4 linked regions of the Yarrowia lipolytica genome follow. The protein of the gene in region 3 purifies or fractionates together with the protein of the main gene of each other region. This does not show direct contact. Links are inferred from orthologs where the notes say so. Each region holds a gene or a part of one and is shown on either strand. Other genes may lie near its edges.

What was found.
Region 1: the proteins of YALI1_E34933g (region 3) and YALI1_F07819g purify together in Saccharomyces cerevisiae (affinity purification with mass spectrometry; 3 studies listed by BioGRID). This does not show direct contact. The link is inferred for Yarrowia lipolytica from reciprocal best matches to the Saccharomyces cerevisiae genes UTP10 and FAF1.
Region 2: the proteins of YALI1_E34933g (region 3) and YALI1_B01628g purify together in Saccharomyces cerevisiae (affinity purification with mass spectrometry; 7 studies listed by BioGRID). This does not show direct contact. The link is inferred for Yarrowia lipolytica from reciprocal best matches to the Saccharomyces cerevisiae genes UTP10 and NOP58.
Region 4: the proteins of YALI1_E34933g (region 3) and YALI1_F37963g purify together in Saccharomyces cerevisiae (affinity purification with mass spectrometry; 6 studies listed by BioGRID, with this or other methods). This does not show direct contact. The link is inferred for Yarrowia lipolytica from reciprocal best matches to the Saccharomyces cerevisiae genes UTP10 and KRR1.

The regions. Positions count from the first base shown.
Region 1 is NC_090775.1:778,696-785,626, forward strand, and holds YALI1_F07819g (uncharacterized protein), read right to left. Parts: upstream 3,245-6,931; coding exon 2,072-3,244; downstream 1-2,071. Other genes in the region: YALI1_F07793g (uncharacterized protein), read right to left, coding at 1-665, 1,313-1,328; YALI1_F07827g (uncharacterized protein), read left to right, coding at 4,043-4,837; YALI1_F07847g (uncharacterized protein), read right to left, coding at 5,279-6,019, 6,096-6,098. UniProt on the Saccharomyces cerevisiae protein: Required for pre-rRNA processing and 40S ribosomal subunit assembly. Seems to act in the processing of 35S rRNA at the A(0), A(1), and A(2) cleavage sites.
Region 2 is NC_090771.1:158,691-166,089, forward strand, and holds YALI1_B01628g (uncharacterized protein), read right to left. Parts: upstream 4,120-7,399; coding exon 2,572-4,119; downstream 1-2,571. Other genes in the region: YALI1_B01644g (uncharacterized protein), read left to right, coding at 5,759-7,252. UniProt on the Saccharomyces cerevisiae protein: Required for pre-18S rRNA processing. May bind microtubules.
Region 3 is NC_090774.1:3,486,027-3,496,407, forward strand, and holds YALI1_E34933g (uncharacterized protein), read right to left. Parts: upstream 7,306-10,381; coding exon 2,716-7,305; downstream 1-2,715. Other genes in the region: YALI1_E34870g (uncharacterized protein), read left to right, coding at 950-1,126, 1,214-1,285; YALI1_E34880g (uncharacterized protein), read right to left, coding at 1,707-2,003; YALI1_E34942g (uncharacterized protein), read left to right, coding at 8,241-9,182; YALI1_E34979g (uncharacterized protein), read right to left, coding at 9,340-10,381. UniProt on the Saccharomyces cerevisiae protein: Involved in nucleolar processing of pre-18S ribosomal RNA. Required for optimal pre-ribosomal RNA transcription by RNA polymerase I together with a subset of U3 proteins required for transcription (t-UTPs). Involved in ribosome biosynthesis.
Region 4 is NC_090775.1:3,792,580-3,799,497, reverse strand, and holds YALI1_F37963g (90S preribosome/SSU processome component KRR1), read right to left. Parts: upstream 3,149-6,918; coding exon 2,069-3,148; downstream 1-2,068. Other genes in the region: YALI1_F37998g (uncharacterized protein), read left to right, coding at 1-162; YALI1_F37986g (uncharacterized protein), read left to right, coding at 809-1,996; YALI1_F37929g (uncharacterized protein), read right to left, coding at 3,968-6,517. UniProt on the Saccharomyces cerevisiae protein: Required for 40S ribosome biogenesis. Involved in nucleolar processing of pre-18S ribosomal RNA and ribosome assembly. Essential for vegetative growth.

The sequences.
Region 1 (6,931 bases), on a different chromosome or scaffold from region 3:
GTCCGACGGAATCGGAGGAGTATGCTGCTGATGCTGATGTTGGCTCTGGCTCTGGACCAGATTGCTCTGTGGATGCGGCGCAATGGCAGTATGGTGTGATCGCGAGTTGCCTGAGCCATGCGTCAGGTTGGACCCCTGCTGTGCTCGGCTTGATCCGCCCACCCCACTACCATGGGCGCCACCTCCACTGCCATGGCTCACGTGACTGGGAGAAGTGCCAACTTCGGCCCGTCCCAGAGCCGATCGAGAGGGATACTCGACAGCGTCCTCGTAAAGCTCCTCCTCGGCGCCCTCAGAGTCCGACGCGACGTCCTTGATCTGATCCCACATGTACTCCAGCTCCGCCAGCAGCTCGCGCCCCTCGTGAGTATCTGAGGCGTACGTGTTCATCAGGGAGATGAGGAACGACACGTATCTGCGCTTGGCTTCGGTCTTGGACAGCCCCTGCTGCTGTTTCCAGGCGTCCCACTTCTTCTGGCCAGCCACATCAATCTCCGAATCTCCAACCGGACGGGCCATGACACCCATCACGTCGCCCTCGGTGGCCTGCTTGTACATTCCATAGAGCTGGATGCGCGACTCGATAGGGGGGCGGGGTCGCGAGGAGTATCCTGGCCGTGAGGAGAGTGTCCGGATTGTGTTGATAGCACGGACAAATACCCGGTCTGAGTTAGTATAATGGGGGTGTTGGTGACCAGCTGTCAAAAAGACTGTATGAGAACTGCTGGGCCAGACAGGAGCGAGTGTGCACAGACCACCAACAGTCACTTCCAGCAATGTAGCAACCAATCTCGAACAGGAGTAACGAGAGCGTAGGTCCTAGCGAGTCCATTCAGCGGCAACAGACACTAGCAAGCCTTAGTGCCGCTCTAGCACACGACAGTATCTACGGCAAACGTCCGGAGCATGGTAGCAGCATGAAAGTAAGGGGCAGTTTCCTTGGACACATCCGGTCGGTGCGACAGGGTGGTACGGTCTTCTTTATATGGAATCCCTGCCACGGCCCTTGCCGTCACACCGTCCCTGTCTCTGTAATGTCTGTATCTGTCCAACTCGCCACCAAGCCGATTGAGACATTAATGTAGCTGAGCCGTGAAAATCTCACGTGTGCCAATCCGTTGGGGCTGTTTGTGTGCGTAGTTGGTTGCCTGTTGGACGGCTCCTCTTGGTGTTCTTCTGCTTGTGTCTGCCCGTCTCTGTGATCTCGGACCCCACACCTCGCACTACTGACACGAGTACTGGTGACACAAGCAGGTCCATTTCCGCGGTTCAGTTGTTGCCACGTGTCCTCTCCCGTCGTTCCCCTACTCACCAATGGAGTCACTCATGTCGTGTGTAATGCTGAGAGAAGATGTGATCTCGAAATCGAAATCTCAAACGCTATGTGTGATGGAGATGTGATGTGATGTGTGATGTCATATGTATGTAGGCTGCAGGTTATTGTGGAGAGCACAACTGGGAAATGCCACCACGTCAACCAGAGGGTTAGGGCCGGGTTGTGGACACGGAGAAGATTGAAATATGTAGCCGCGGCCCATTGACATTAATTGGCAGTATCTATCGCCTTCCCCATACAGCCACAGCTCTCCAAAGTGCTCTTGCTTGCCATTTCTCTTTTCACGTGGTGGGGTTTAGAGTTGTAGAACCGGTGGTATAATCTGGCTATGATTTCGGGTGGGGTAGGAGAACCCAGTATTAGTAGAGGAGCCGAGGTAGGTGATATTGGGGAGGTTTTTTGTCTACAGAATATTATGGACAGATTTTTCTTGGTGGCTAGAGCTGAAAATGGCCATCAAAGGTGCTACAATGTGGTTTGAGCGTCTCCTATAGACTGCCATAGTCTGCTGCTTAGTTCATTGAACTCTCCAAGTATTCCCCAAATGTTACTTGGATTCTTAATAGATTATAGTTAATATCTAAACAAACTACAGTTGATAGAGACTCATTCATCCAACCTGTATATTAATGCTATGCGTGCTTTTTTTGTCATCACCTCCCGGTGCCATTTAAACGTTCACGTGACTCCTGTATCTGTGTCCTGGACTAGTCTCCTAGTCATTCTTCCGGTGTCCTAGATCTTACCTCCAAACTTGCGAATCTCGTGTTTAGACAACTTGATTCCTCCAGCGGTGCTCTTACCAACCGAGTTGATTTTCAGACCTCGGTCTCGCTTGACAACCTTCTTCTTTCGAATGGCAAACCGGTTGTCCACCGGAGCCGTCTTAGCCAGAATAATACCGGCCTCCTGGGCATGCTCTTGCTCGGCCTTGACCTTGTTCTGGAACTTGGAGTTGACCATTTTTCGAGTCAACATTGGCATGTTCTTCTGGAGCGGGATATGTTTGCCTCCCAGACTCTCAATTCGAGACGTCAGGGTCTTAAGACGAGCCTTACCAATGGGACCATCGTCCAGGAAGGAAATATCTGCTCCAGAGAAGCTAGACTGAGCAGCCTGAGAATGCAAAATCGAAGACTCGTTGATAAGTCGTTGCAGAGCCACGTCATTCTGCAGGTCCTCCTTCTCCTCCTCCTCTTCCTCCTTGGTCTTGGGCACTCGTCTTTGAGTCTCACTGAGTAGCTTCTCCTTCTCCTCCTTCTGGACCTCAGACAACGGTGTCTTCTTGCTCATGAACCGTTTCTTCTCGGCTTTTTCGTTGAAGTCCCTCGTAGAACGGTCGCTTCCAGTGAACCGGACAATCACAGGTCCTTCTTCTTTCTTCGTTTCTTCCTCCTCCTCTTTCTCGCTCTCGGTGTCCATCTCATCGTCTGATGGCCGCTCCACATAAGTCTTGGAGAGCTCGACGAGATCCTCGTTGTCGTCAAAGTCATCATTGTTATCATCCGACTCAGACTCAGAATCTTCATCCTCTTTGTCGTCCTCCTTTAGCCCCTCAACATGTCCAAACTGGGCCTCAAATGCTAGTCTCATTTTTCTGTGGTACTCCTTCTCGGCGTCTTCCTTGGAGGTTTTTGCGGGTTTCGAGACCTTTCTGGAAGTATTTGTCGGTTTAACGGGTTTAGATTTGCTTGTTTTAGTCTTGACTGTCTTCTTGGCCTCCTCAACAGCCTCCTTTTTGGTATCTTCCTTCTTCACTTCCTTCTCCTTGGGCTTCTCCTCGAGCTTCTTCTGGGCAGGTTTAGCAGGTTGGGCTTGCTCAGCAGGCACTGGTTTCTTCGCGGGGGCCGCCTTCTTGGTCCCCTGGGCCAGATCGCCCAGATCAAACGGGTTGAATCCTCCTAGCATGATGAGTTGAGTGATGTTGCAGAGTCGAAAATAAATTTCAGGCCGTTGAAATAAATTTAATCGTGCATAAACTCAAATGGGGGGGTGAGATTAGTAAGAGAGAGGGAGAGCTGCCGAAGTGTGAGTAGGAGATGTGGAGGAAAAGGCGGGGGCTTATGTGGGGATTGGGGCGGGGCAGTTGCAAACGTCTACTTAATTGGACCAAATATCGGTACTTTTCAGACCCACGGCTCACTTTCTGACACTTACTTTCTACCCAAGTGAACTACAGTATGTACATACATACAGTTGAGTGAAGGAAGAGATTAGAGAGTTTCAACCGATAGCGGGAGTTCTGATTGTAGACAAGGAGGTGCTGAAAAAGTCAGATACAAGTACCGGTACAAGTACGTTATGTCAGTTGAACCATTGATGAATTCTGTCTCGTTTTCAACCCTCCAACTTCTCGTAAGCATCCAGTGATCATTCTAAAGGAGTTATATATTGTAGTTTCCGCACACACTCTACCTCAGTGTCTCAATCTCAGCTCTTCCTTGCCCAATGTTCATAATCTCCACCACACATAAATGACGACCAGAAGCAAAAAATGCAGTCACATGACCTGATCCACCACCCTATATATTCCTCCATAATCCCCTTTTGTCGCTTTGTCTACTCTGGCAGTCCCTACCATGCTCCTCCAACCCACCAATAAAGTTCCTGATCAGTACTATACATGAAAATGCATGATCTGTGAGAGTCATTATCTCAACTGCACCACCACAGTACTCACACCAAAACGCAGGTCCGAGCTCAGACATGACGAAATTCCGAGGCTGTATCGATATCCACTCTGGACAGGTCAAACAGATTGTCGGAGGCACTCTGACGGACTCAGACGCTGATCTCAAGACCAACTTTGTCGCTACCCAGCCTCCGGGATACTTTGCCCAGTTGTACAAGGACAACAATGTCGTGGGCACCCATGTTATCAAGCTGGGTCCTGGCTGCGACGAGGCTGCCGAGGAAGCCCTTGCTGGCTGGCCCGATCATCTTCAAATTGGAGGAGGCATCAACCACGACAATGCCGAAAAGTGGATCAAGCTGGGAGCTTCTCATGTGATTGTCACTTCTTTTCTGTTCCCCGACGCCAAGCTCGATATGAAGCGACTCACAGATCTGGAGGCCATTCTGGAGCCCTACGGCGGCAAGAAGCGCATTGTGGTGGATCTGTCGTGTCGACGAAAAGACGGCAAGTGGGTGGTGGCTATGAACCGATGGCAGACGCTCACAGACACAGAAGTCAACAAGGAGACGCTGGAGCAGCTGGCCAAGCACTGCGACGAGTTTCTGATCCACGCTGCTGACGTGGAGGGTCTCTGTAACGGCATTGATGAGGAGCTGGTAACTAAGCTGGGAGAGTGGCTTGAGGAGGGTCATTTGCCCCCTGTGACGTATGCTGGCGGCGCCAAGAACATTGATGATTTGGCCCTGGTGCAGAAACTGTCGCATGGCAAGGTGGATCTGACCTATGGAAGTGCCCTCGACGTGTTTGGGGGAGACAAGGTCAAGTTCAGTGACTGTGTCGAGTGGAATGAGAAGATGCACAAGTAGACATGGATGAGGATGAATAGATGAATAGAACGGTAGCAAAGCAAGCGTGAACTTGGAAAATGGTGGGTACTTGGTGCGGACTAACAGTGATAATGAACTATCGTGTCTGACTGTAGGAAGGCTGTGGGTGCAATCAGGCTGATCGGATGCCAGGAGTTGTGCACTTAAGTCAACAGAATGAGCCTCTCAGGTAGAACCTCTGTCAACATGGACCTCTACGGTTGATATACATTCTTCAGACTACATCTCGACACTTTGGAGTAGATGTACCGGCCGGTGCCTTGGTTTCACATTTCGCATGCATCTCGGAATGTTGATCTGTGGTCTACGGGTCACTTACATGTATCATTCATAAGATATATTCAAATAGCACAGCACACGTGTTAAAGCACATGGACACGGGCTATTATCGTGCTACTCACTCGAATCGCACTGAAATGCTTAAAGTCGAGAGTTGATGATGTCAACAAACTCGGGCTTGAGAGAAGCACCACCGACGAGGAAACCGTCGACATCAGACTTGTCCTTGAAGGTACCAGAGTTCTTGCCGTTGACGGAACCACCGTAGATGATTCGGACCTTGTCGGCCTGGGCGCCAATCTTGTCCTTGAGGTAGGCTCGGATCTCGTGGTGGATCTGCTGGGCGTCCTCGGCGGTGGCAGCGAGACCGGTACCGATGGCCCAGACGGGCTCGTAGGCAATGACCACGTTGGACCAGTCCTTGATCTTGGCGATGACGGGGTCGAGCTGGGATCGGACAACGTCCAGGGTCTTGCCAGCCTTCTTCTCGTCAATGGTCTCTCCGATACAGAGGATGACGTCGAGACCGTTGTCAAGAGCGTACTTGGTCTTGTCGGCAATCCACTCGGAGGACTCCTTGTTGATGGTTCGTCGCTCGGAGTGGCCGAGAATGACCCACTTGGCTCCAACGTCCTTGAGCTGGGCCACAGACACCTCACCGGTGAAGGCACCGTCTCCCTTGTCGAAAGAGTTCTGGCCAGCCACAGACACGGTGGGCTTCTTCAGAGACTCCTTGGCGAGCAGGAGGTAGGGGAAGGGGGGCGAGATGACCACCTCGGTCTTGGGGTCGAGCTCGGAGGCGTTGAGTCGCTCAACAATGGCCTTGATGGACTCCAGAGAGCCGTTCATCTTGAAGTTTCCGCCAACAAAAAAGGTTCGAGACTGTGTTAGTGCGTGCGCGCGCGGGGTTTTGTGTCGCTCAATTGACCGCCGGCCAATTGTCTCCTCAATCACTCACCATTTTGAATGTAGTTGTGTTGTATGTACGAGTACGAAGGAGAGTGACATTGCTTGTATATCTGACTATGTATGACGAAAGTGTCCCGAATAAGGTTACCCTATTCTATTGGTTGGGATGGAGAAACGGGTGGAAGTGTTGGGAAGCGGAGGAGATGAATACAACGCGCCCAGAAGTCGAGAATATGGCGCCGAGTCCAGGCGATATTATCGGATGCCCTAACCCGGACGCCTTTTGAGTGCGCACGGACTGTATTTCTAACCCCACCCTAGCCCTGATGGAGCACTCGTGGCGATATCAACCTCTAGCTCTACACTTAGTGCCATGGCCTGATCTGCCTATACGGGTTAAGTGAGGTAATAGAGCACTAAAAATGGAACCTAAGACAACGGCGTTGCAAGCTACTGTAATAATGGCGTCAAAAGGCGTATAGAATTTGTGGTGAGGTCATTGGGTGTGTTGTAATGAGCTGATTGTGTGATTTTGCTGAGGGGTTTCGCTGTACAGTAGGTGGTTTAGTAAGCATGTACAGTAGACTCACACTCTTTACTGTAGCAGGGGGGTTGGGGGGTGCGTAGATATCGGAGGTAATAACGCAAAAGTACCACTACCAAGACTTTTTTGTATGAATGCAGATGAATGTCATAACACCAATGGAAACACCGTCGAATTCTGCATCGAATAGTGCAATTTTGTCATATCTTGTCTTGGTCTGTGGCTCATTTCCAACATGCACTTTCTGAGTCACCTGTAAAGAAATAGTCAAGTATATTACTGTATCTGTAAACAAAAATCCCAATCAACTTACTTGGACGGGGGTAATTGATGCTGTGATA
Region 2 (7,399 bases), on a different chromosome or scaffold from region 3:
TCCAAATTGTCAGATTTAAGCAAAGTTGTGGTTCTTCTTCAAGAGATCGGTCTGGACATTTCGGTGAAGACTGACATAGTTCAGGGGTGCTGTGTTGGTAATGAATCTGCGGCAACGGAACGGCGGTAACGAAACGGCTCGTGGTCTTTTATCGCAATCAGGTTTTCCAGTTTTCCGTACAACTTCCACCCCATTGCGTAGTTTGTACAAACCAAATCCTCTCGCGTGACATTATTCACGGGGACCTCAATGTTGTATGGTGGTGAGAGCCCTCAAAGTGGTTAATTGGGTGTAGTGAAGAACTTGGCCGGAGAAGGAGGAAAAGATATCTTCGGAGTTGGGTGAGGGAAAGACTTGATCAGGGTAAGAGATGGAGTAGAAAAGTTCGGTGAAGGAGATCCCCGAGTGAGATCCATGAGGGAGATCTTTTCAGAAATTGATCCAGTCTTTCCATGTTCAGTGAGTGAACTTGCTGAAAAAGAAGGGGTGCATCCCGTGAAGAACCTATCTGCAGAGGATGAGCTCAGTTTAAATAGACTGGAGCAATGGCCACCCAACACCAACCATGTCGTGATCTTGGTCCAAAAAAATTATATAAGGGGGAGTTGGGACCCCCACTATTCTTACAGACAGACTCAGACGAACGCAGACAGTCACAGACGAACACAGACAGACAGAGTCGATCAACAGATATCCACTGTTGCAGTCAATGTCGCAGTCAACGTCGCAGTCAACGTCGCAGTCAACGTTGCAGACCGCCCTTTTGAGACCACCCAGTAAATGTCTGACATTATTCTTCTGGCAGCAGTGACAGATACACACACAATGTCTCTGGCTCCAGTGACAGATACGCACACAATGTCGCTGACTTCAGTGTTACTTCACACCGGTTCTCCGGTTCATGGTGAAGCCTTCAGTTTGTCTCCACTCCTTCTCTCTTCGCTCACTCAACGTAAGTACAGTCACAGATACCTCGTGAATGATAGCTAACACGGACCTGTGTCAAGGAAGTTTCACCCTTGAATATCTCTGTCAGTGGCTTTGCGAATGTATCACTGACTGGCTCTTTGCTCTGGCAGCGGCACATGTGATCCTCAAGAACTCACAAGGCACGGAGCAGGCTCGGTCATTTTATTCGGCCAAACTCGCTCTCAGCTCATGGCATTCGTCAGCTCATGGCTGTCAACAGGACATACAGTCTCGGATCTACTGACACTTGGCGCAGGCGGTCGTTCTCGCCTCAATGTTGAAATCGCCGAGAAACAAATCTCTACTCAAATGCCCAATCAGAAGCCGTCGCAAGGTTTCCATAGCGTATCAAAGAGATTCTAAGACTGATTGCCCAGGTCTTGGAGCTCGTTCGTTCGCTCACATTCTAGGCTCCACCCGGTCATCCGCTACATCCTTCCTCTCGCTTTTCCAATTCACCAGATCTGTTCATTCCCTCCATCACCCAGTTTCCTTCAATCCAATTCCCCCTCCACAGCCGTCCGGTCAATGGTCTCCATACGGTCGCCTACTTGTAGAGCCAGTGTTGTCCGTGAAGGATGGTGGTTGGAAAGAAAGGGAGTGAGGTGAATTAATGAGGTAATACGAGTGTAATGAGTGGTCCAGTGGTGAGGCAGGGTTGGGGTATGATCGTGGTCAAGGGGTAATTGAATTATTTCCTCTTCTACCGAGACCCCTTTATTGTTCAACCCCTTTACCTTCTGGCCGCAGCCGCGCAACACAGGCTCTGTCTTCTTGTCCAATGGTGCAGCGTCATTCATACCACGTCATCAAGTCGTTTCCATGCAACCTCCTCCGTTGACAATTCTCTACACGAATATCTATTCACCCTCCCCATACTGGCCTAGTTCTCCGCCCCTATACTCCCGTCATGATCAATCCTTGATAGCCTGCTCTTATCCCACAGTGCCCCCCAACCATTGCAAATGTTCTTAGCACAGAGGTGCCTCCGGTATTGATGGCGAAAGTCGCAGCCATTTCATTTGCAATACTTCGATAAGTGGCAGAAGCTCTCTGGCTTCTTCCGGAAAATCCAAGCTTCCCCTCGGAACTCGTTCCCAATCACAGCGCACGCTTTCGCACGTCTCCCACAGACACATTAATGATGACTGCCGACTTTGTACAGTCCTGATCACTACGGCAGTTCTCCATGCCACATTCCTCCTCACGGTTACGCTATAGGTGATAGGAATGTGTCCTACTTTCAGCCCGTGAGTACACTTGCATTGACTAACACAGGCCTTAAAGATCAGCATGTTCACAGGGGGTCCAGGGAATCACCAAGACGCTGCAGCACTACTCGGTTGTCGGTGTTCTGATACGATACAAGCAGTCTATCCCAACATTTATAGTCGGTGGTCAGTGGCAGTCGGCGCTCTTGGTGTTTTCTCCTACTGTTTATAGATCAGTAAATCTCGACTGTGAGTGGGCGTTCGCGGCGTTCGCGGCGGTCGCTGCTACTTTCTACTGCCTGGGTCGGTAACTCTCGACTCGGGCTGTGCCCTCATTTGTCGAACCTCCTCCGCGTCTGTCTAACAATTAAAATACATACCACTATCTACTTTACTTCTTGCTCTTCTTCTCCTTCTTGGGCTCGTCGTCGTCGTCCTCTCGCTTTCGCTTCTTGTCCTTCTTTTCCTTCTTTTCCTTCTTATCCTTCTTTTCCTTCTTGTCCTTCTTGTCCTTCTTTTCCTTCTTGTCCTTCTTTTCCTTCTTTTCCTTCTTTGCCTTCTTCTCCTTGACCTCCTCCTCAGAGTCGGAATCCTCGTCGTCAGAGTCGGCTCCGGCGGTGGTGTTGCCGACGGTGTCGGCGTCAGCGTTGTACTGCTTGCCGGTGGAAAGGTCGACCTTCTTGTGCTCGATCTTGTTCACGTCGGGTCGGACGGTGCCGACAATCTCCTTGCCCTCGAGCTGTCGGAGACGGTTCTCGACCTTGATTCGGTTGTCGATGCCGAGAATGGGCACGTCCTCCCGCTCCTCGGCAAATGCATCGTATCGCATGGACACGGAGGCCTTGGCGGCGAGCATTCGGGCAATCTTACCCTTGTTCTTGCCGGAGGCCTGGCCGATGAGCGAAGCGTGGTAGATGATACCGTACTTGGGGGTATCGTGCTTGGTCTTGAGGGCTCGGAAAAGGGCCTTCTCGGCACCAAGAATCTGGACGGTGGAGGCGGGGGCCTTGGCGAGGTTGACGAGGGAGCCGGAGTGGGCAATGAGCCGGGCACCGACGAGCTCGCCGACGAGGGCGGTCAGGTTGGGGGCAATGGCGGCCATTCGGGCGTTGAGGTAGTTGGAGAGCTGTTCTCGGTACTCGGCAAAGTCAATGACCTGGTCGGCGAGGCACTGGATGTTTTCGAGGTCAAACTCGGTGATTTCCGTACCCATGGAGACCTCGGCGGCAACCTTGAGGGCGGCCTCAACCTCCTCGGGGAGCACCTCAGACAGATCGGTCTCGGAGGCGTTGGATCGGTAGCCCATGGTCTTGATGACTCGGGCGTAGGCAATGTTGTCGGCGACAATCTTGGCCATCTCGGGGAAGTGCCAGCCGTACCACTCCTTGATTCGCATGGCGTATGTGTTGAGCTCCTTGTCCAGATCATCTAGTAATGCGATGGCCTGCACAATCATGGTGTCGACCTTGTCGGGGGAGAACTTGAGCTTGTGTCGTCCCAGCGAATGGGCCAGACCCAGGCTCATGGTGGCCAGGTCCTTCTCGGTGAGGCCGGGCAGCAGAGAGGGCAGGTTTTCTCGGATGGCTCGGAAGAGATCGAGCGAGGCGGACTCGGCAACCACGTCAAATGGCAGATCCAGCTTGTTGATGGCGTTGCCCAGCTTGGGGTCGGCCACCACCAGAGCAGACTTCTTCTCGTCCTTGAACTCGTTGAGCAAAGCAGCGAGCTTGTCGGAGACCCGGCCATCCACAATGGCGTTGACCTCCTCCAGAGCAGAGGCGGCAGAGTCAAACTTGGAGAAGCCCTTGACCTTGAACTGCGAGGTCACCAGCTCGGGGGTCGACAGCTCCTCGAGAATCGACTCCGACTTGTAGATCTTCTTGTCCTTGGCCTTAAGCACGGCGTAGCCGGCAGACGTTTCCGTCAGAATAAATGTCATGGTGTCGTGTGTGGGCGGTGGTGACGTAGATGACAAGTGCGGTTGTCAAGTGTAGTCAGTGGAGATGGATGGGAAAAAAATTTGGGACGACTAAATTTTTTCCAAAGTTTATTTTAGGGTTAGGGCCCAGGCGAGACAAGCCCAGATGAGAGTGTAGCGAATGTCTGGGCGAGTCTGAGCGGGGAAACATCTGAACTGATACATGTGGTATTTTCTGACCATTTCCCCATTTTCCCATTTTCCATTCTCATTTTGCCATCTTTCATTTTTTCCATATTTTCTCCAATTTTTCCAATTTTTCCAATTGTCTTTTTTTCTTTTATCCATTTTCCATTTTTCCATTTTCCATGTCCCATCGTTTCCACAGTGAAAATTCTTCTCCTAATTTTGCTGTGATTCAGGAGGCTTGAAATGGGGTTTTTTTTAGGGAAATGATTTATTGATTTGAGATTTGATTTTATCTGATTTATTTTGATTTTCAGATTTTCCGGTCCCAATTTTCCCATTTTATTTCAGATTTTCCGGTCCCAATTTTCCAAAAAAATTCCCACGCTACACCACATCTAAATACGGTCGAATCTTCCTAGACGGCTCCATATTTCCACTAATTTCACAATAAAGTAGGTACATTGTGCGATTTTCTTTTCTTCCTTTTCTCTTTTTTTATCCCATTTTTTTGTATATATTTGTATATATTTTTATATTTTTTTTCATTTATTTATTTAATTTCTAGTTATTTTTTATTTATTTTAATTCATTTGCTGAACCGCTCTTCCGATCTGCATATCACTGCAGAAAGTGATATCGATAAAAAAATAGTCAGATATACTCAAGTGGAGCCAAACGGAAACAGGATCGACGGGATTGAATGATCACGTGATGAGAACAATGGGTACTTTCAGGGTGGTCACGTGATCAGAGTCTTGGTCGGCGCGGTGGGGGTGACCTTGACTGACCTGGGGGGGGGGAATGTCTGATGGGCTGTCGCTGACTAAGGTGATAATAGGGCAGAATTCGTAATGCAGAATTTGTAGATTAGGAGATTCTTGGATGCTCACGGTGATGAGGTACTCGTATTGTAGGTACTCGTAGATATGTCTTACCGAAAACAAGTGGACGAGATCACCTTTTGACGAAAGAGACACTCTTTTGGCGATTCCAGAGACTCTGTTTGGCTTCCCACGACTTCTGATGTATACACTGACTCTCATCTTGAAGCTCCAACATTGCTCAGATTTGAATGGTTGAAGTTGCAGTTTGTTAATGGGGTTGTTTTAAATAGTATGCTCCATTCAATATTTCTCATTTGTTCTTTGATTGTGTTGAAAAACATGAAAACTATCTGGAAAGGGTTTGGTAACAGTAGCTAACCAAGTTTCAACAAATGACACCAGAATGCTAACCAATTTTCAACAAATGTCAACAAGTAAGATTTCAGATAAGTTCGTCTCCCGCCGACCGTCCACCCGAAATATTAATACCATTGTGGAGCTGTGATTGAGGAGATTCCAAATATTTTATTTTCGACACGATTTCATTGACCTACCGAGAACTGGAGGGCCCGTCTGGTTCTAAATAAACTTTCTGCACTTACTCCAGACACTTGTCACCACTTTTAGCCACTCTCTCCACTTGACCAATGATCAAAATCAAGCTGAAGCCCGAAAAACGGTCGCCGGAGGCATCGCCGGAGAAGCGGCGGACCAAGAAGCGCAAAACGGATGAGGAAGGGGCCAAACCGAGCACTCCGTCGCTCAGCATCAAGTTGAAGGCGCCCAAAAAAGAGCGGGAGTCCAAGCCGCGGTTGTCCCTGAAACTGAGCAACAAAAAGAGCGAGAGCGCGGCGCCGGAAAGCAGCCGGGCGTCGACCGCGAGTGGCGGATCCACTAAAAAGAGCAAGGTGGTGCCGCGGATCCGAGTCAAGGCCGCCCGCGAACCGGGCCAGGGATACGACAGCGAAGCGCCGGACCGCGAAGACGATCCGCTGATTGAAGAGGGATTGATTTTGCGATTCCCACCAATCGGTAAAAGAGGCCGCGACGACCTGTCATATCTGCGGACGGCGGTGGAGAACCAGGATTACAGCAACATTGTGATTCGGTTCAAGGACTCGCGCAGGGCGGTGGTTTCTGTGCGGGGGCGGCATTACGCGGCGAAATTGGTGGACTTGCCGGCGATCGTCGAGGCCCAAAAGACGTTTGACCGCGGCAAAAACATGTTCAAGTGTCTGGACATTTGCCAAATGTTACTTGTCACCGAGCCCATTTCGTCCGAACACAGCATTATGGAGGCGCGGTCGATGCAATGGGACAAGAGCTCCAGCGAAAGCGCGCTGACCTGTCGCCATGGCCTGACTCCGCCGTTGTTTGACGCCAAACGTCGCCGATTCAGAAAAACCGTGTCCACAAAGGTGATTGAATCGGTGGAGCAAAAGGTGACGGACTTGCTGGATCTGGACGACGAGGCAGACTCCACATCATATGAGCTTGTCGATGGACGCACCCTGGCGTCCTTGTATGGAGCCGGTGGGGTTGCGGGCTCGCAATCTGTGTCTACCACTGTTTCTGCCGCCGCCACTCCTCCTCCGCGGTTTGCCATGGTCGACGAGGGAGAAATGGACGTGGATTTGCTCGATAAAGAGCTGGAGCGGGCCCTGGAGGACCAAGGCTCGGATGAGGGCGAAGAAATCGAGGCCGATGATGCGTCCGAGTCCGAAGATGAGGGAGAAGGCGCAGGTGAGTCGGACAACTCGGACGAAGAGGAATTGCCCCGAGCGTCGGCCGGAATGGACGATGACGACGACGGTGAAGAGGGAGGACACGCCAAGGTGCTGGTCGACACGATTGCAGATCTGGAGGCGACCATCAAAAAGCAGCAGGACGACGCCGACCGCACCGCCAACGCCATGCTCAAGGAGCGGTTCAACCAGCGAATCTCCAAGCTCAAACATGAGCTGGAGGTCAAGAAGAAACAGCTCAAGGCAAAGAATACCATCAAGGAGAAGAAGAAGGAGATCGATAAGAAGGAAAAGAAGGAGGAGAAGGAGGAGAGTGAGGACAAGGTGGAAAAGGGCGAGGTCAAGGACAAGGGTGTGGGCAGTGACGACGATATGGATTTGGATGATTTGTTTTAGCCGAGCTCGGCAGGGTGGGAGTTGATATGGAGAAAATCCAGACCCGAATCTATTCCGTTCCACACCAACGACAAAGTCCGATGGGTCCGCTCGTGGTCCGTTCACCAGAGGAGTCGACCTGTGAACTTCAGTCATCTCTCTACACTG
Region 3 (10,381 bases):
AATGTCATGCCAACAATGGATGGTTGTGTTGATGATTCCAATGACATTCTTTGTTTTGTAGATATGACAGCGCTAAAATCAATCAACAGGTTCAAACGGAGCTCTCTGTGCTCGTGTCTCCAACAAACGTGCAAGTATTTCTCAAAGCGCAATCTCGATAATCTCTCTGTCGAACTGTCATGGGACCAATAACTCCACTACTAAACGAGACAGTTGAAAAGTTTCGATCCTGTTGCTTTCACAAAACCATACTGATATCACACCACGAGGATGTGGCAGTTCCACCCAGTCTACATTAATTACACGTGCTACGAGTACCGGCAGCACAGTATGTACGAGTCGTTGATTGTTGTTAGATCAACCAAGCAAGTCCAATTGGGTATTTAACAATTACAAATTGCACAAACCCCTGCTCGGTATATTTCTTGGTCATTCAAAGGATACTATGGGCAAGATATCTCCACATGTAAGTTAGAGGTCTTACCCGATCGCGTTATCAAGGTCCCGTGGGTACCTAATTATATCCCCAAGCTCGAGTATTTGTTGCAATCACGAACTTAGCACGCGGCTGATGAGTGCTTTTCCGGTATAGCCCAGCAATATCATACCACTCACATACCCTAATGGTGAGTTAAGGCCGTGGAGAATTAAATCCGAGACATATGTTGGACAGCGTGATGAGTATGAATTACACCAGATTGTAGTCGGATTTTCGCTTAGTCCCGTCCATTTTTTTCACACTTCTCCGACTACTATTTCGAGTCATTCTTATGACATACGTACGGAAGTCTCTCGTGTGTGCCCACATGTTCCGTGCAGTCCCAAATATACATAACCCTGGTGGCTAAAGCTGGACCGTGGCGCCAAAAGTTTATATTGTTTGAAGTGCGAACTTTGAAAAATTCACACAACATAAAAGCGTTGCAAAGACCAGACAATCAAATTCGCAATGTTCAACGTCCTTCGATCCATTAGCCGAGTTCCGGCCATGATTACTCTTCAGCGACCCTCCCTGTTCCAGACCGCTGGCCAGGTGTCTCGACCGGCCGTGAATGCCGCTGCCGCCATCACCGTCCGAGGAATGAAGACCAAGTCTGCCGTGCGAAAGCGATGCCCCGACTGCTACGTAAGTATCCATCCACAAGAGTTTTTCGTGACACTGTTCACTAGGATCAAGTGATTCCGCCCCTTCTAGACACGTTACTAATATCAGATTGTCACTCGAAAGGGTCGAGTTTTCAACTACTGCAAGACCCACCCTCGACACAAGCAGCGACAGGGTTAAATGATGCTATTTATTGTAATTGTACATATTTCTGATTTACCAAGGGAGTGTGGGGGCGAAATTGCGTACACTGGTTTCGATGTGGACGGAGTGGATGTGTAGATAGGTACTGTATTCAGTTTGCCGCCTGATCGGATGGCCACAGAAGGACAGAAATTGGAGATCTTACAGAACATGTACCGTCAAAATAATAAATCAACGCTTACACATCTCAAAACTTCAACTCTTTCAAAAGTTCACTACTTGTACAATTGTAGTTGCTTAGCTACTCATTATCTGAGCACATACACTGCAGTACTGATTTATCATCTCTATACATTGCTCACTAGTTCTGCCAAGTTTGCTTACTTCATTGATCAATTGATCATAAATTATTCTATAATATTTTGCATGTACATGTGACTACTGTAGCACTCATGACTTAGTCAACCTCCACCACGGTAGGGCACTTGCCGCCGCAATGGGCAGCACCCTCACCTGCGACAGGGAAACCTCCAGAGACTCCGTAAAACTTCATCAAGATAGGGTTGGAAAAACTCTCAAGCTCCTTCTGCTTATCGGAGTATTCTTCACTGGCACTGGATTGTGTAGCATCTAAGAATTCGATGGTCTCGTTAATAGCCTTCTTGAGCTTCTCTCGGTCCGCTTCACAGACCTTCCCCTTGAACTTGTTCTCGGAGAGTGTTCTTGAGGGAGAAGGAGAAAGACTTGTGGCCATTTTGGCGGCAATTCGAGCTGACTTTCTCTCTCATCCTCGTCCTTGTACTTTTCAGCATCGTTCACCATTCGCTCAAATTGCTCTTTGGAAAGTGGACCTTTGTCCTTGCAACAGTGATCTGCTGGGTATTACCAGTACTCTTTTCAACAGCGGAGACGTTGAGAATACCGTTGGAATTAACGTCGAAGGTGACCTCAATTGAAGGAACACCTCAGGGAGCAGGAGGAACTCCGGACAGCTCAAACTTAGAGAATGAATCTGAATCGGTGTCTGAGCCGAAGAAGAAAGGGTTTGCTAAGCACGTTCACAAGCGGTTCGCAGTCTAGCTGGTTGGTGGAAGTGTACTTTTTGTGCGTTGAGCACCGGTAGCTACAGTATCGTACATACTTGCAGCAAGATAGATCCTTTAGAACACAGACAGAAAGTGAAATACAGTGCTACTGTAGCTTGATTTACTGGTTCACCAAGTGAAGGTCTTAGACCACCAAGCGACAGAGCAAGTATATGGGTATGTGCAGTGTATTATTACTGAAGTGAGAAAGTGCCACTTCTTTCAAGTATGTGGTCAAAGGTGTTTTGGACAGAGTCAAGAGAGTCCACTACAATTACGAGTGTACGATACATATACTGTAGAAACAAAAAGAACACCACAATTGCACTCAGCGGTCATTAAATTTTTTACAATTAATTAGATATTCATTTTTGGAACACCTTAAGCAAGATATCGGTCGAGAGACTCGCCAAGAACCTCCTCAACGGCAGGAATGAGTTCGGCACGAACAGCAGACTCAACCTTTTCATCTTCACTTTCAAGGAGCTCGGCAATCTGGGGTACGAGCTGAGGCAGGAAGGGAAGGAACTCCTCGCCAACGTTGTTGAACAGAGCAGCGAAACATCGAGATCCATAAAGAGGAGCCTGGCGTAACAGCTTGATCATCATGTCGTTGAGCTGCTTCTTCTGGTCCTCAGAGGCCAGCTCGCAGAGAGCCACAACAGCCTTAATGAGAAGCTTGGAATTCTCGGGCGCAACCTTGGTGAGATAGGGGAATTGCGCACCCAGAGCGTCGGAAATCTTAGTGAAACGCTCCTCGTTGTTCCAGAACTCTTCTCGGTCAAATCGGAAAGAAGAGTAAAGGGAAGAGAGAATGTTTCGCTGGAGAGCAGGAGTGATTGCAGAAGCCTTGTTAAGAATCTCCAGAGCCAGATCGATGATGTAACCGTAGTAGGAGGTAACAATAGACTTGAGGTTCTCCTGCAGTCGGCAGACAATCTTGAACAGCAGAGTGGATCGCTCGGGAGTGTTCCAGTCGACAATCTTGACGAACAGAGGTCGGAAGGTTTTGTCATTGAGCTTGAGGACAATGGCAATCAGGCACTTGATGAACAGATTCTGGACACGAGCGGCAGTGTTGGCCTCCAGTTTCAGAGAGGAGTCGAAAGCTTCCAGACATAGAGTGATAAGGCTGTCGGCCTTGGAGTGGATTTGCTTCTTGTCAGCTTCGGCGACCGCCAGATCAAGCGTGTCAGCAAACAGACGAGCATTCTCGAAGCCCTCAACGAACTTCCAGGAGTCGCACAGAGTCTGGAGGACAACTCGAGAGTCCATGGTCTCGACACAAACAACAAAGAGCTGCTTACGGGTATCGGTATCAGCGGGACACTTGAGGGCAAATTCAAAGATCTTGGGTAGAGAAGAGACCATGAAAGAGGGCAGTCGCTTGATGAAGGTGGCAAAGAGAGCCAGAACCGACAGAGCAATGAGGTTGTCGGAAGAGTCTCGAGCAAGAACAGACGAGATAGTGGCAGGGAACAGACCAATCATTCGGGCACCCAGTCGGAGACACAGAGAAGAGAGGACAGATACGGCCTGGATGAAAACATCGTCGTCAGAATTCTTGAGCTGTGCTACAGCTTCGCCAGCACAGGTGACAAGAAGGGCATCAGAGCACTTAGGGAAGCCAGAGGCCACAGTTTCCACGATCTGGAGCAGCAGAACAAGATCGCCAGTATCGGTGGTGGACTTCAGCAGACTGTGCAGAGACTCGAGAAGAGTGTCGGAAGCCTTGGTATCTTCCTCCTCAATAGAACCTGAGGAGAATCGGGCCAGGACAGTCTTGTAGACAGAAGAGCCAAGTCGGCCAGCAACAGTGACGAAGAGGGGCAGAGGCAGCAGAGACAGGATAACGTTGAGCAACTCAGGGTACTGGCTCTCAATGAGCACGGTGAGCACGTTCTCGGCAATCTTGAGGGCCTCGGGGCTCTGGACAAGACCGGCCTGGAGAGGCAGAATTCGGGACTCGAGCAGAACAACCAGGAAGTCGATAGGAGAAACCTCGAGCTCCTTGTCGACCTGCAAGAAAATCTGTCGTCGAGTCTTCTTTTCCTTCTCCTTGGTCTTGGGGTCCGTAGCAATGATGGCGTACAGCTCCTGGACCAGAGTGACATAGGGAAGAACGACAGCAAGCTGCTTGGAAGCATCGAAGAGCTTGAACAGAGAGTCGCAGAACTTGGCGATAGCAGAAACTTCGGAAGTCTTACGTGCAGTCTTAAGCTCAGCAGACTTCTGGGCAAACAGGAATAGCAAAGTGGCAAGGGCGTCCTTGGTTCCGGAGGCATCCAAGGCTCGGACAAGCTCGCCAAACAGCTTGACTCGTCGGTGCTGAGGAATGTGGGGGAAGGCGGTGACGAAAGAGACCAGAAGCATGTCAACCTTGTCAGTGTTTCCAGCTAGACAGGGCACTATTCGCGCCACAGTCTGTTCGATGACATGGACGGAAAAGTCGTCGTCCTGTCGGAGAGTGTTGGCGCCCATAAAGGTGAAAATGGGCATGACAGAGTGCAAAACCAGAGTTGGGGCCACAGTAGCAAGCTCAGCAACAAGGAGCAGGTACTTGTTCTGGATCTGGGCGTTAGAGGCGGTTCGAATAGCAGAAACAACAATGTCGACTCGGATATCTCGATCAATGCTGGCTCCATCGTGTTGGTTGGCTCGAATGATGTTGAGAAGAACATCAGCAAGCAGAGACTGGCAGTAGTCAATAGGCAGGTTGGAGTCGGTTCCGAGAGTCAGAATCTCGCCAAGCTGAGTGAACAAAGGGCCTAGAAGAGCGTCGTCAGTGGTCTTGGATGCAACAAGCAGCTCCAGAACCAGAGAAACCTTTCGCAAGTTTCGCTCAGCAATATGGTGGAGCTTGCCCTGTAGCAGGTTTCGAACGGTGGACGAAGAAGATCGTCTCCGTCGTTTAGTAGACTCGTCAGAAGGAGCATCCATGGAGGTTGTGTTTTGCTCGACCTTGCAGTCATCCAGCAGAGAGATGAAGACCTTGGTAGGGACATCAACGTGAGCGAGAACATCAAGAGAGTCAAAGGGAACGTCCTTGTCAAGGGAAAGATCAACAAAGAATCGGAACAGGCCCAGGTGAGCATCTCCCTTGAGGGTGGGCCACAGCTTGACTAGTCGCTGGGTGACAATATCACATACTTCATCGTAGATAGGGGAGTCGTTCTTGATAAGGGACTCAAGGAACTTGATTCCGGTCTTGTCGGTGACAGTTCGGATTAACTCAGTAATGTACGCCAGATCGTTGGGAGGGTTGATGTACAGAGGCTCAACAACCTTCGTGGTAGGCACAATGGGCTCCTCGGAAGAAGTGACCAGAGTAAGAAGAGATGTTCTAATGGCGATAATCTCCTGAGATACCGCGTGCGAGCCGAGGTAGGCAAGAACCGCGGTTGAGAAGGCGCTCTTGTAACCCTTCTTCTTAGAGATCATATCAGAGACCTGTCGGATAACAAAGGACTCGTCCAGAATACACTCCTCGAGAGACAGAGCGTTAAGAAGGACGGTAACGTCACCAGAACCGAGGTAAGAGCAGTCGTTGGTGTAAATCTTCTCCACTCCCCAGATGGGTTTCTTGTTCTGCTTGGACTTGAGCACTTCGGCGAAGCTAGCAGCGGCCTTTCGGACTCGCTGGGATGCGTCAGAAAGAGCAATGCATGTGTAAGGGATGAGGTTTTGGAAGTCGGCCTCGCCAGCGGCAGTAATAATAGTCTTAGCGGCCTCCACGGCAGCAAGACGCGCCAAAAGAGGTGAGGGAGAAGCCCAAATTCGAGCAAAGAAGGTTAGGGAAGCAATGTCAGAGGAGAACATGCTGACAAACTTGTCCATAGTGTATCCTCGCTCGATGAGCTGAACAAAAATCTTGGAAAGTTCCGCGTAATTCTCGGAGGTCTTGGTTGAGAAGTAGGTGGTGGTCTGAGAAGCGGCTTTCTTGGCCTGCTCAACGAGAGACTCGACATCAACATCCTCCTGGATCTCCTCGACCTCCATCTCCTCGACGGCAGCCTCAGTAAAGACAGTCTGGAGCTTGAGCTCGAGCTGGTCGAGTTCAGGCACAGTCTCACCTCGGGTAACCCACTTGGCGATGACGGGAGCAGCCAGAGCAGCAACAGACGTGTTGGTCTCCTTTGCAAGGGCCCAGTCAACAATGTAACGCATAAGGAAGGTGGACTCGTTAGAGCCAAACTGGGTGTTGGAAATGATCTCTTCAAGACCCTTGAAATTGGCAGCGTCGGGGTTCCGGAGCAGAGCCATGCAGTATCCGAGGGTGAAAAGAGCCATCTTGTACTTCTGAGATAGGGCGACAACATCTGAAGGCTGAAAACCGGCCTTGTTGAGAGCGGTCATGACGCTAGTGGGCAGCACCTCGGGCTCCTGCTTTTGTTGGTACATCTGGGTGATGCAAAGAATACCGCTCTTGATGGCCTTCTGGGTCCAGTTTGCAGCGATGGTCTCAACGAGAGCGTTGAATACCTCCTTGTTGAGAGGCATTTTGTTACCAAGAACAGTCAGAACCATGTAGGCAGCAATCTGGCAGTCGGTATCGATGGTGACAACGAGCTTGGCCAGAGCCGGCAGGTAGATCTCCAGCATTCGCTCGGGGTCAGCCTTGTCGGCGACCAGGCCGTAGATGGCAAACTGCGACCAGAAAGACAGCTGTCGCTGGTATGAGGTCTTTGTGGTAGTCTGACCAACGATATACTCGGTGATGAGTTCAAACAGACGCATATCAGCACTGAAGGCTCGGATCAACAGGTTTCGAGGGGGGTTCTGGGCAGCAGACTTGCTCTTGTTAAGGAAAACAAACAGGGGAGGGAGCTTGATGATGACATCGGCGACCCGCAGGTAAATGTCCTGGTCGTAATAGGGGAGGACACACAGGAGAAGCTGCTCAGCGTTCATCTGGTTGACATGGAAACGTCGGACGAGCCATTCCAAGGCCTTGACGGCAGGGGAGAGCATCAGGTAGGGTCCAATTAGAGAAAGGAACGCCGAAATGGCCTTGTCGAGCAGGTCGTTCTGCTCCTGGGTCTGCACATATCGATCGACATCAATAGAGGTGTCGCTGAACAGGTTATTCTCGAACTGAGCGAATCGGGAGTCCAGAGAGACGAGATCTCGCAGGCCTTCAACACCAACAGCGTGGATAAAAGAAAAGTCCTGATCCTGGGCAACCTGAGGCTCGTAAATGAGCGACTTGGAGTGCTGCTTGAGCTTCCAGGTTCGGTCGACGGTAGATCCGCCGCCGAGTTGGGACAGCTGTTGAGAAAGGGTAGACACTGGGTTAGTTTAATGGACGAGGAGTGACAATATGACTGTCGTCCCCAGTTTTTGGTACTCACTTATTCCCTTTAATTAATACTGTCGTTGACGAATGTGGTTGTGTATGTAGGTTTTCTGAAATTTCACCTCAATCTCTTCACAAAAAAATTGTTTAGCCTTGCATTGCATACTTGAGGTTATGAGTGTGAAGAATGTGTCCAGTATACAAGTATCGGTATATACTGTATGAAGAAGGTAATTGGAACAGATAACACTATCTAGGGATTATGTCATTAATGGATATTGTTGGATGCATGTAAAATTTTTCTGGTTTGGGGACGTATTTTAGACTTTATAGTGTCTACAGCTAGAGTGTAGAACTTTTTCAACTAACTCTAGCCCATTACTTGGTTTATACATGATCCAATAGATGAGAAGTCCCACCTGCCCCAGAGTCCAGACCACATAAACACCTAGCTGTCTCAAGAATGTCCGACGTGACATAGTCACTGTCGTCTGTCTCAGTCAATTGCTGTCGTATACGTTCCTCGTAGCCGCGACCATATTTTCCTCATAAGCCGTTCCATCAACTCGTACAAAGCAGCATCGTTGCTTGAAGTTCAGGATTAGCTTCGATGATGCATGAGCAATGTGATGAAGCGAAATCGAAGCGTAACCTGATACCAAAACAGTCTACGCTACAATACATAACCATGACCAGCACTCTGAGCACGACCAAGAACCACCTGGTGATTCTGCCACCAACCACAAAACCAACAATTGTGTCGTTGACACACCCTCGAACCAGAAACCTGGCTCGATTCGTCGTTGACTCCTCCGACCCCAAGCACACTAAGGTATACGAAATCACCCAGATCAACGGCTCCAATGCGCACTTCGAGGGCACACCTGATCCCCGAAGCATCATTTTACAAGTCGAGGGTGACAAGGGAAGTGTGATTCAGGATCCCTCGGTCTTCATGACCACTCCCTTCTCTCCACTATGGCTCATTCTACCCACTCTGGTGCGGCATAAGGACAAGCTGATGACTCTGGACGACCTGCACGAGGCATCGTGCCACGGTGTCGACAGGATGGACTTAATCACTCAGGACACGTTTGATAAGTACATCCCAGATGTGTGCGAGGTTATGGACGAGGGAGAGAAGTTCTACAAGCTGTCCAACGAGAAGTTGCTTGCTCACTTGAAGGCTATCGTCGCTAGCATCAAGAAGAGCCTGCCCAACGATATTTATGTGCGACATGTACAGAACTTGCTCGACTCAGACGCATCAGACGAGATCAAGGATCTCGCCAAAGAGCACATCTCCATGAACATGCTGGGTTCCAACCTACCGCCAGATGTCACCGAGATTTTGCTGAAAAGCGTCGATTTCGAGCCCTACAACAAGCACAAGGCCGAGTATAAGGCCAAGAGAGATGCTGAATCGGCTGCACAGGGTCCTTCCGGTCCCCCTGAGAAGAAGCGGAAGAAATCTGCACCTGCCAAGGAAGAGAAGGCACCGAAAAATAACAAGCGACTTACTGCTTTCTTCTCTGTGGTGCCTAAGAAGTAGTAGGTAGAAGCGTTTTGTCTTCTACTGTGTAAAAACATTGACATTAATTATTGACCCCGCAGTGCAGTGCCCCGTAAGTCTACACACTTCGCTATCATTATACAAAGTCCTTAAATTACACCAACCTATACATACATAAATAACAGAGCTCCATCGTCTAAATGTCAGCCAAAAAGTTGCTGGGAGCTAGACCAGTTCGCTGGCCTCGTCCGTAGACCTCCACTTCCCACCAGCCATCGTCCTGCATTCGCAGTACCAGCATCACTTCGCCCTTTCGGAACGACACCTCCTCAGCTATGGCAGCTCGGTAGTCGTACTGCGCTCTGGAATAAGATATAACTGGCCGTCCATCCGAAGAGACTCGTGGGAGCTGTGGTGCGCCTCGAGGAGATGACATTCGGGGATCTGGGTTAAATCTAGGGTCCATTCGGGGATCCACTCGAGGCTCACCCATGGACTTGGATCTAGGACGACTATCTTGGTATTGCTGTTGTTGTTGCTGCTGGGCATGCAGGTGGTATTGCTGCTGCTGCTGCTGCTGAGCTCCGTAGAGATCGTAGGATCGCCCGTTAGGTGTGTGGCTTCGCTGAGGTCGCTGTTGACCTGAAGCGGCATACAGGTTTGGCTGAGATCGACCATGTAGAGGTTCAGAATAAGGGTTGGCACTACCAGGTCGAGCAGCAGGGTTGGGAGAGACACTTCTCAGCTGAGGATCGGGAGAAACAGTACGAGGGTAGTGGTTGTCTCCCACAATGGAGGGGGAATGAGCTCGCTGGCCCTGTTCGGCATAGAGCTGTCTCTGGATCTGTTCGGCGGAAGCTCCCTCGTAATAGCTCTTCGGTCTGGGCTGGTCAGATCGAGGTGCTCGTCCTCGCTCAGGCGTTCGCTGGACGGGTTTGCGATGCACAGGCTCACGGGTTGCTCCTCCAGAGTCCCGAGAGTGTCCCTCACCAAACATGTTAGCAGCGTACTGCTGACTAGTCTGCTGCATGTCTCGAGCTGTGAATGCAGGGGCAGGAGCATTGAGGTAGGAGGGCTCAAAAGACCGGCCAGGAGATGAGGGTGCTGATCGAGAAGCCACCCGTCGCTGAGAAATGGGCTGGCCACTTCCAAGAGTACCGTACTTGGAGCTATGAGGCTCAGTGTTGGGTGCGGAGGACACTGAAGAACCCACGGAGGAGCTCGACCCCACAGACAAT
Region 4 (6,918 bases), on a different chromosome or scaffold from region 3:
GACGAGGAGAGCGAGGACTTTGCCGAGTTTGAGGGTCAAAAGGAAGGCAAGGTGCGAGAGATCGGTCTGGCGGTCATTCGAGGCCCTAACCTGCTTTCTATCTACCCTCTTGACGGAGGAGAGGGAGTTGAGGTGGAGCCCAAGCCCGAGGTCACTATTTAATTGGATAGTAATAGAGTGTATATTATGTTGTGGTGGAAGTGAGATGCTGCTGTCGTTTTTCTTAGCAATTGTAATGGGGCGCCATCAGAGGTGTACAGTATGTACTGGGATAAGTTAATGATATGTTCGGCTCGGAGCAGGTATTGAACAGTGTAATGACCCGACATACTCTTCGTACATGTACTGAATTTCTAGTTATAATCTATAAACTGCAATGGTTTCAAGTAGCTACGTGCTGTAGTGTACTGTATGTGATAGGGCTGACTACGCCATGCTCTGGGTTCACTCACACGACCCAACGCCACCCCTACTTGTAGTCTTACTACTTGTAGTCAGTAGAAACGGGGGCGTGTTTACCATTAGAATGTACAATAATGGTGCTTATCGAATGGATAAAGGGTTAATATATCGATTTCGATTAGTAATGTATCGAGCTATTGTATGCACATATTCACGCCCTCCACACACCACACACTTCCACATATTAGACTTGCCTGTCCCATGCGTGTTGGGATAATTGGCTTCACAGAACAGCGACACTCACTGATAAACAACCAGTCACACTTCTCCAGCCACCCAGCGACGGCCATACTCGAAAAGTCACTGACACACTCATGTCAAGGAATTGAACATTTCAGCAACCATAATGCAACTAGAACCTGCTCATCTTGTGTACGCCGCATTTTGGACATTTGGGTTGGTCAACAACGTGCTCTATGTGGTTATCTTGACCGCCGCAGTAGACCTGGTGGGACCTCAAACACCCAAGGCCGTGGTGTTACTGGCCGACGTACTCCCATCGTTCTTGATAAAGCTGGCAGCACCATTTTTTATCCACAAAATCCCCTATAACCGCCGAATAACATTGCTGGTTGGCCTGTCAACTGTGGGAATGATGTCTGTGTCACTAGCATCTCCTCTGTTTCTCAAACTCGTGGGAGTGGTGCTGGCTTCTTTCTCTTCCGGTCTGGGCGAGGTCACCTTTCTCCAATTAACCCATTTTTACGATACCAGGGCTCTCAATGGGTGGAGCAGCGGAACTGGAGGTGCAGGGCTAGTGGGTAGCGGGCTGTTCATGCTCTTGACCACGGTACTCGGAGTTTCAGTCAAGACGTCATTGCTTGTCTTTGCATTCTTTCCCCTGGCCTTCTTAGGAGTCTACTTCTATCTCCTTCCTCCTAGAGATTATAACCGTGTACCAGGGGCCTTCCCTGTGCACAGCAATGACCCTGAAACAGGTATTGAAACACAGCCAATCACCTGGGAGTTTGTTGCTTCTGGATACGAAACTACAATGGTCCGTTTGAAGCCGCTGGTTATGCCTTACATGCTGCCTTTGTTTCTGGTCTACTTTTCCGAGTACACCATCAACCAGGGAGTGGCACCCACACTTCTGTTTCCCATGGAAGAGTTGCCCTTTTCTAAGTTCAGAGATGTCTATGTGACCTATGGAACACTATACCAGTTGGGAGTATTTATCTCACGTTCGAGTGCACCATTTGTGAGAATTAGACGAATTATGATCCCCTCAGTGCTCCAGTTTGCCAACCTCGTGTTTTGCATTGCACAGTCTATGTCACCGATATTACCCAACGTCTGGCTGGTGTTCATTCTCATATTCTACGAAGGGCTGCTTGGGGGAGCTGCCTATGTCAACACCTTTCTGCTGATTACCGAACAGGCTGATTTGGCAGAGCGAGAGTTTGCTCTTGGTAGTGTTGGTATGAGTGATTCTGCCGGTATTGTTCTTGCTGGTCTAGTCAGTCTCTGGCTTGAGCCTGGACTGTGTAACTACCAGGTTAATGATGGTCGAGGTTGGTGCACTTTAGAATAGCTCTCTAGCCTAGCTAGTTAATTTATTTTAACCAAGTTATGCATTACAAATCTATTTTACTGAACAAGCAAGCTACTCCACGGATCGCTTCTTCTTCTTCTTCTTTTTCTCTCCCTCATCGTCGCTGTCATCGCTCTTTCGCTTCTTCTCCTTCTTCTCCTTCTTCTCCTTCTTTTCCTTCTTTTCCTTCTTTTCCTTCTTCTCCTTCTTCTTTTCCTTCTTGGCCTTCTCTTCGTCCTCGTCTGGCGCAATGAAGGCCAGCTCTCTCTGGGCCTGCTTCTCTGCACTTCGAGCAGCCTGCTGTTGTCGCTTCTCCTCGTCGGCTCGTCGTCGCTTCTCATCGGCACCCAAGAAGAACTCTCCAGACTCGATCTGCAAATCCACCTTTCGGGGCAGCTGGGCAGGAGGGAAAGCGGTTCGAACCTTGTTCTTGATGGTCTTGGGCTTCTTTCGAGCAACATTTCGCTTCTTGAACTGGGGCAGGAAACGGCTCCAGTCCTCCTCGGCTAGCTCGGGTCGCTTGGCCAGCTCTCGCTTGATCATGAGCTCCTTGATGTGGTAAATGGGGTGGATGTTCATCATACAGTCCTCAATCACTCGTCGCAGAGTCTTCATATGTGTGTAGGGACCCATGACAGAGACGGTGTTACCCTGAACAAGGATATAGCACTGTGTGAGCAGTTCCAGGGCCTTGAGAGTGTTACCGTTGGGTCCAAGAAGACGCTGTCGTCGCTTGACAAATCTCTCCTTGTTGCTGGTGAAGTTACCAATCTTGATAACGTCACATGCAATGCCGTCCTCGAGAATCTTGACTGCCTGGGGGAAAGGCACCGATCGGGCCAGCAGCTTGATGAGATCTCGAGCGTTCATAATGGCGTAAGGATCGTAAGTTTTTCGGGTGGTTTTGACGGTCATGGAACCCTCAACGAGATCCAGAACACATGCAATACCCTTTTGGTCGAGGGCTTTGGTGACATCATCCCAGATTTCCTTTAGGTAGCCTTCTCGGTACTTGGGGAACAGTGTGGCGAAGGAAGACTCCTCGGCAAAGGGCAGACCGGAAGCGTTGTCCTTCTCGGTGAACTCATCCTCGGCCCACTTATCAATGTGGGGCTGATCCCATGGCTTGTCTTTGTTATGAGTAGAGACCATTGTCGGCTGTGTAGTGTGTCGTGAAACTGTCTACCTTGGACGAGATAAATTTGTCGCATGAAAACTCAATTTTTTTTCTATCAGAGTTTGGCGGATTGGAATTAGTAGTTAGGTAATCAATAGCTACTTGGGAAATTAGTTTAGAGGTGGCACACACCAAAATTAAGTTTATGCACGTTGAACCACCTAAAGAGAAATATTTTGAGAGGCGTTGCCATACAACACAACCACAGACATTACACAACCATGGCAAAGACTAACGTGACAAAATCAAAGGCCAGAGCAGGTCCATTTTCCAGACCAACACGTGACAAGACTGGTGGTGTAAAAAAGACAGCCAAAAAGCCGGTGCCTAAACAGAAGAGCCAGAAACACAAGGACTCGGCTCTGCTGGATCTCGTCAACGATCCAGATGCTCTCAAGGATGTCTACTCTGTTAAATCCAAGGAGACACTGAAGAAGGAAAAGAGCGAGGCCCTTCTGAAACAGAAGGAGGAAGAACGAGAGAAGCGGCTCGTCACCAAGAAGGAGCTTGAGAAGCAGATGGACGACCTGGCCAGTTTTGGCCTCTAACAGATGGACCGATATATAGGTCTACGAATATATTTATTGCATTTTTGACAAACGATTTGGTGGCGTACAGTATATCACAGGATAGTGTGCTTTCAGATTATTAGCAGGGCTGGCCACCGCGTGCAGTAGCTAAATACTGTACTGTACTTGAACTAACTGCACATACGGAAGCTACGATAATATACAATTGAGTAGTAAAATAAATATAAATAAATAACTGGCCAGATAATAACGGGTCTCGCGTTTCTAGGCCTTGATAATCATGCCTCGTCTGTCCTTGCCTGCCCTGGAACGAGAAAACCATCCTGTCTTGAGCACCTTCACCAGCTCGTCCATCTTTTGCTGTTGCGCATCAGCACTCAGAATGGAGGCCAAGATGGAGAAACACTGTAAGAGTCTAACGGGAGTGTTGGCTCCCTGAGAAGATAGCTCGAAATTGGAAATGATTCGAGTCAACCGCTCAGAGTGAGGGAGAATGATGTAGTCTCTGAACGCACACAGAGTCATGAGACGAATGTTCAGCTGATCACGGTCCATGAGCAACATACCCCAGAACTTCTCGCTCTCTTCGGGCTTCATGCTCTTTCCGTAACCATCGAACTCCTGCTGAAGAGGCAGAAAGACACCCTCCCAGTAAGGGAGCACGTCTGAGAAGAAGTGACCCCAAACTGTCGTCAGGTGAGCAATAAGCTTGTCATCTGGCACACGGGACATAGTAGAGTCCAGCGTATACATGCCAGATCTCAGCAGGTCCTTGAATTCTTGCAACAAAGACTTGGCTGTGACATGCTCCTGGATCCGCAGATTAGTGTGCATCACCACCAGCTTGTTGAGATCTTCAATGGGGACTCGGATGCCTTCACCTGAAAACAAGGGAAGCACTCGAGAACACAGAAGCGCCCATGCGTCGTCAGCGAGCTGTTCCTTATCCTCCTTGGTCTGGTTGAAATTCTTGAGTTCCAGAGCACTGGAAAAACTCTTGTGTAAAGCACCAGGTGAGGAGCTCTGGAACGAGTATAAGGAACCGCCCTGTTCGTTGATGAGCTTGGAGTTGGACGAAGACGAAGACATGAAGGCAGCCGCAGAATGCACATCCTTCTTGGCTCTCAGCAGAATGGAGTGGGCCTTGTTTTTCGCACTGGGAGAGTCATCCTTAGCTCCGGCTGTCAAGGGATGGTTGTAATCTCCTCTGCCAGACGCCATGGTTGGCGTGATGGGTACGTTGCTGCCGATGCTTGCAATTCGTTCCAGTTCCTTGGAAGGTCTGTTCAGTGGACTTCTTTCTGCTAGTGAAGGACGAGTGCTGGGGAGTTGTGTCTGAATAGTAAGGTCAATGTTGCCTTTGCGCTTGAGTTTGGGCTTTAAACTCTTGGCTGACGATTGTTGTTTTGCTTGTTTGGCAAACAGCTTTGCCTTAAACAGAGCCGACTGTTTAGAGGGCACATTGGGGGCATACGCAGCTGCAGCGGCAGCTGTCGAACTGTCTGTGGAAGTTGTGTTTGTGGTAGAGAGTCCAACGTCATTGTTGTTTCCCATACCACCAACCACAGAGCTCATGTCGGATTTCACAGACGCGCTGCTACTCATAGCTGCGCTTGAGCTGGCAACGTTGTTAGACCCAGTGGAACCAGTAGCCACGTTTTTGGGGCTAGAGCTGGGCGAACGTTTTCCAGAAATCTTCTTACCCAGCTTTGAATTTTTGAGGCCATTGTGGCCATGTAAGTGGATTCCAAAAGGGTTATTTGAGTGGCCAAATGACCGCGTCTTCTTGGGACTGGTATCTGGAGGGTTGTCGTTTTGGGAAATCGGCCGTTGAGTCGACTGGATGGGAATAGATGATACCCTTCTGAGAGCAGTAGCAGCCGCAGTGGCAGCAGTAGCCCCATCGAGCGTGCTCATAGATTGTTGGACCGTATTAGTGCTGCTATTCGACGAATAGGAGCCAATGCCAGGGTTCCCACCGTATCCTTGTGATTGGCCTAGACCTGGGTTCGAGTGTGTCGGAGTAACTGGACTGTTTCCACTGACATTGCTTAGATTGATTGTCGAATAGTTGGACCCGATGAGAGTCGAATTCGAGTCGCTCTGGCCGTAGAAAGATGCAGAGGGAGATGATGGCACAGAGGATGTCGTCGTAGCACTGTTGGCAGCAAATGGGGCGTTCGGACGGACCAGGTTTCCTGCAGATGCCGATCTGGTAGCCTGATTCTGAACGGGTGGTGGCTGCTGAAGTGGCTGTTGTTGATGCTGTGATGCGTAGTGGTGTTGCTGATGGCCGATGTTGACGAAATCCTCTCCTCGAAGTTGTGGGCTAGGCCCCAGACTTTGGGTTCCATTTTGGTGCTGATAAGGCGCTGCAGGAGGGTTGTATTGTGGCTGCTGCGGGGGCTGCTGTGGCTGTTGATGCTGAGTTTGGGGACTGTTATATCCCGGGTAGCTGCTCAGGATCGGTCCAAACGGGTTGTTGTTCGTCGTCGTGTTGTTGTTGGTGCTAGGTAGCGGCGGAGGGGGTACATTCGGAGGCATGCTAGTGTGTTGCTGAGGAGCTGGATTCGAGTTCATGTTAGCGGAGCCATTGTTATTTGTCGGCTTGGACTGTCCGGGAACGAAACCAGGCAGCAGCTCGGGGACAAATGGACCTCCGGAAAATCCCCGCAAAGCGTGGGGGGAATGGCTGGAGCTTGAGGAGTCGGAGGAACTTCTGTGGTGGCTGAAGCGTCGTCCACGAGCCTGAGGCGCACGAGAAGTAAACCCAGCAAAGTCCGGCTGGTCCTCTTCGGGTATACTGTCAATCATGACGTATGTCGGGTGCGGATGTTGGGTGCCGACTAAAGTATGTGGAGATGGTCCTGTATGGAGGCCTGTATGGAGGTTTGGAATATGCAGGAGGACGGTTTAGGTTGGCTTGATTGGGAATCTACCCTAATCAGTGGAGTGTACAAGAAGGGACAGGGAATGGATGGAAGGAGTAGGACAAGGGGGTTTTGACGTTTCAATGAAAAATAACGAGGAATTAAGTAATCCAGAGTCTTTGTTTGTTTGTTTTATTTTTTTCGGCTGACTAAAGGACACCTATTATGATGTGGGGCTGTGTTTCGTCAAGTGTATTTATATCCTGTGACCAGAACCTTGGGCTTGAAGCTGGGCGATAGATCAACTTTATAAGGCGGATGCCTTTCTCTACTTGTAGTACTGTA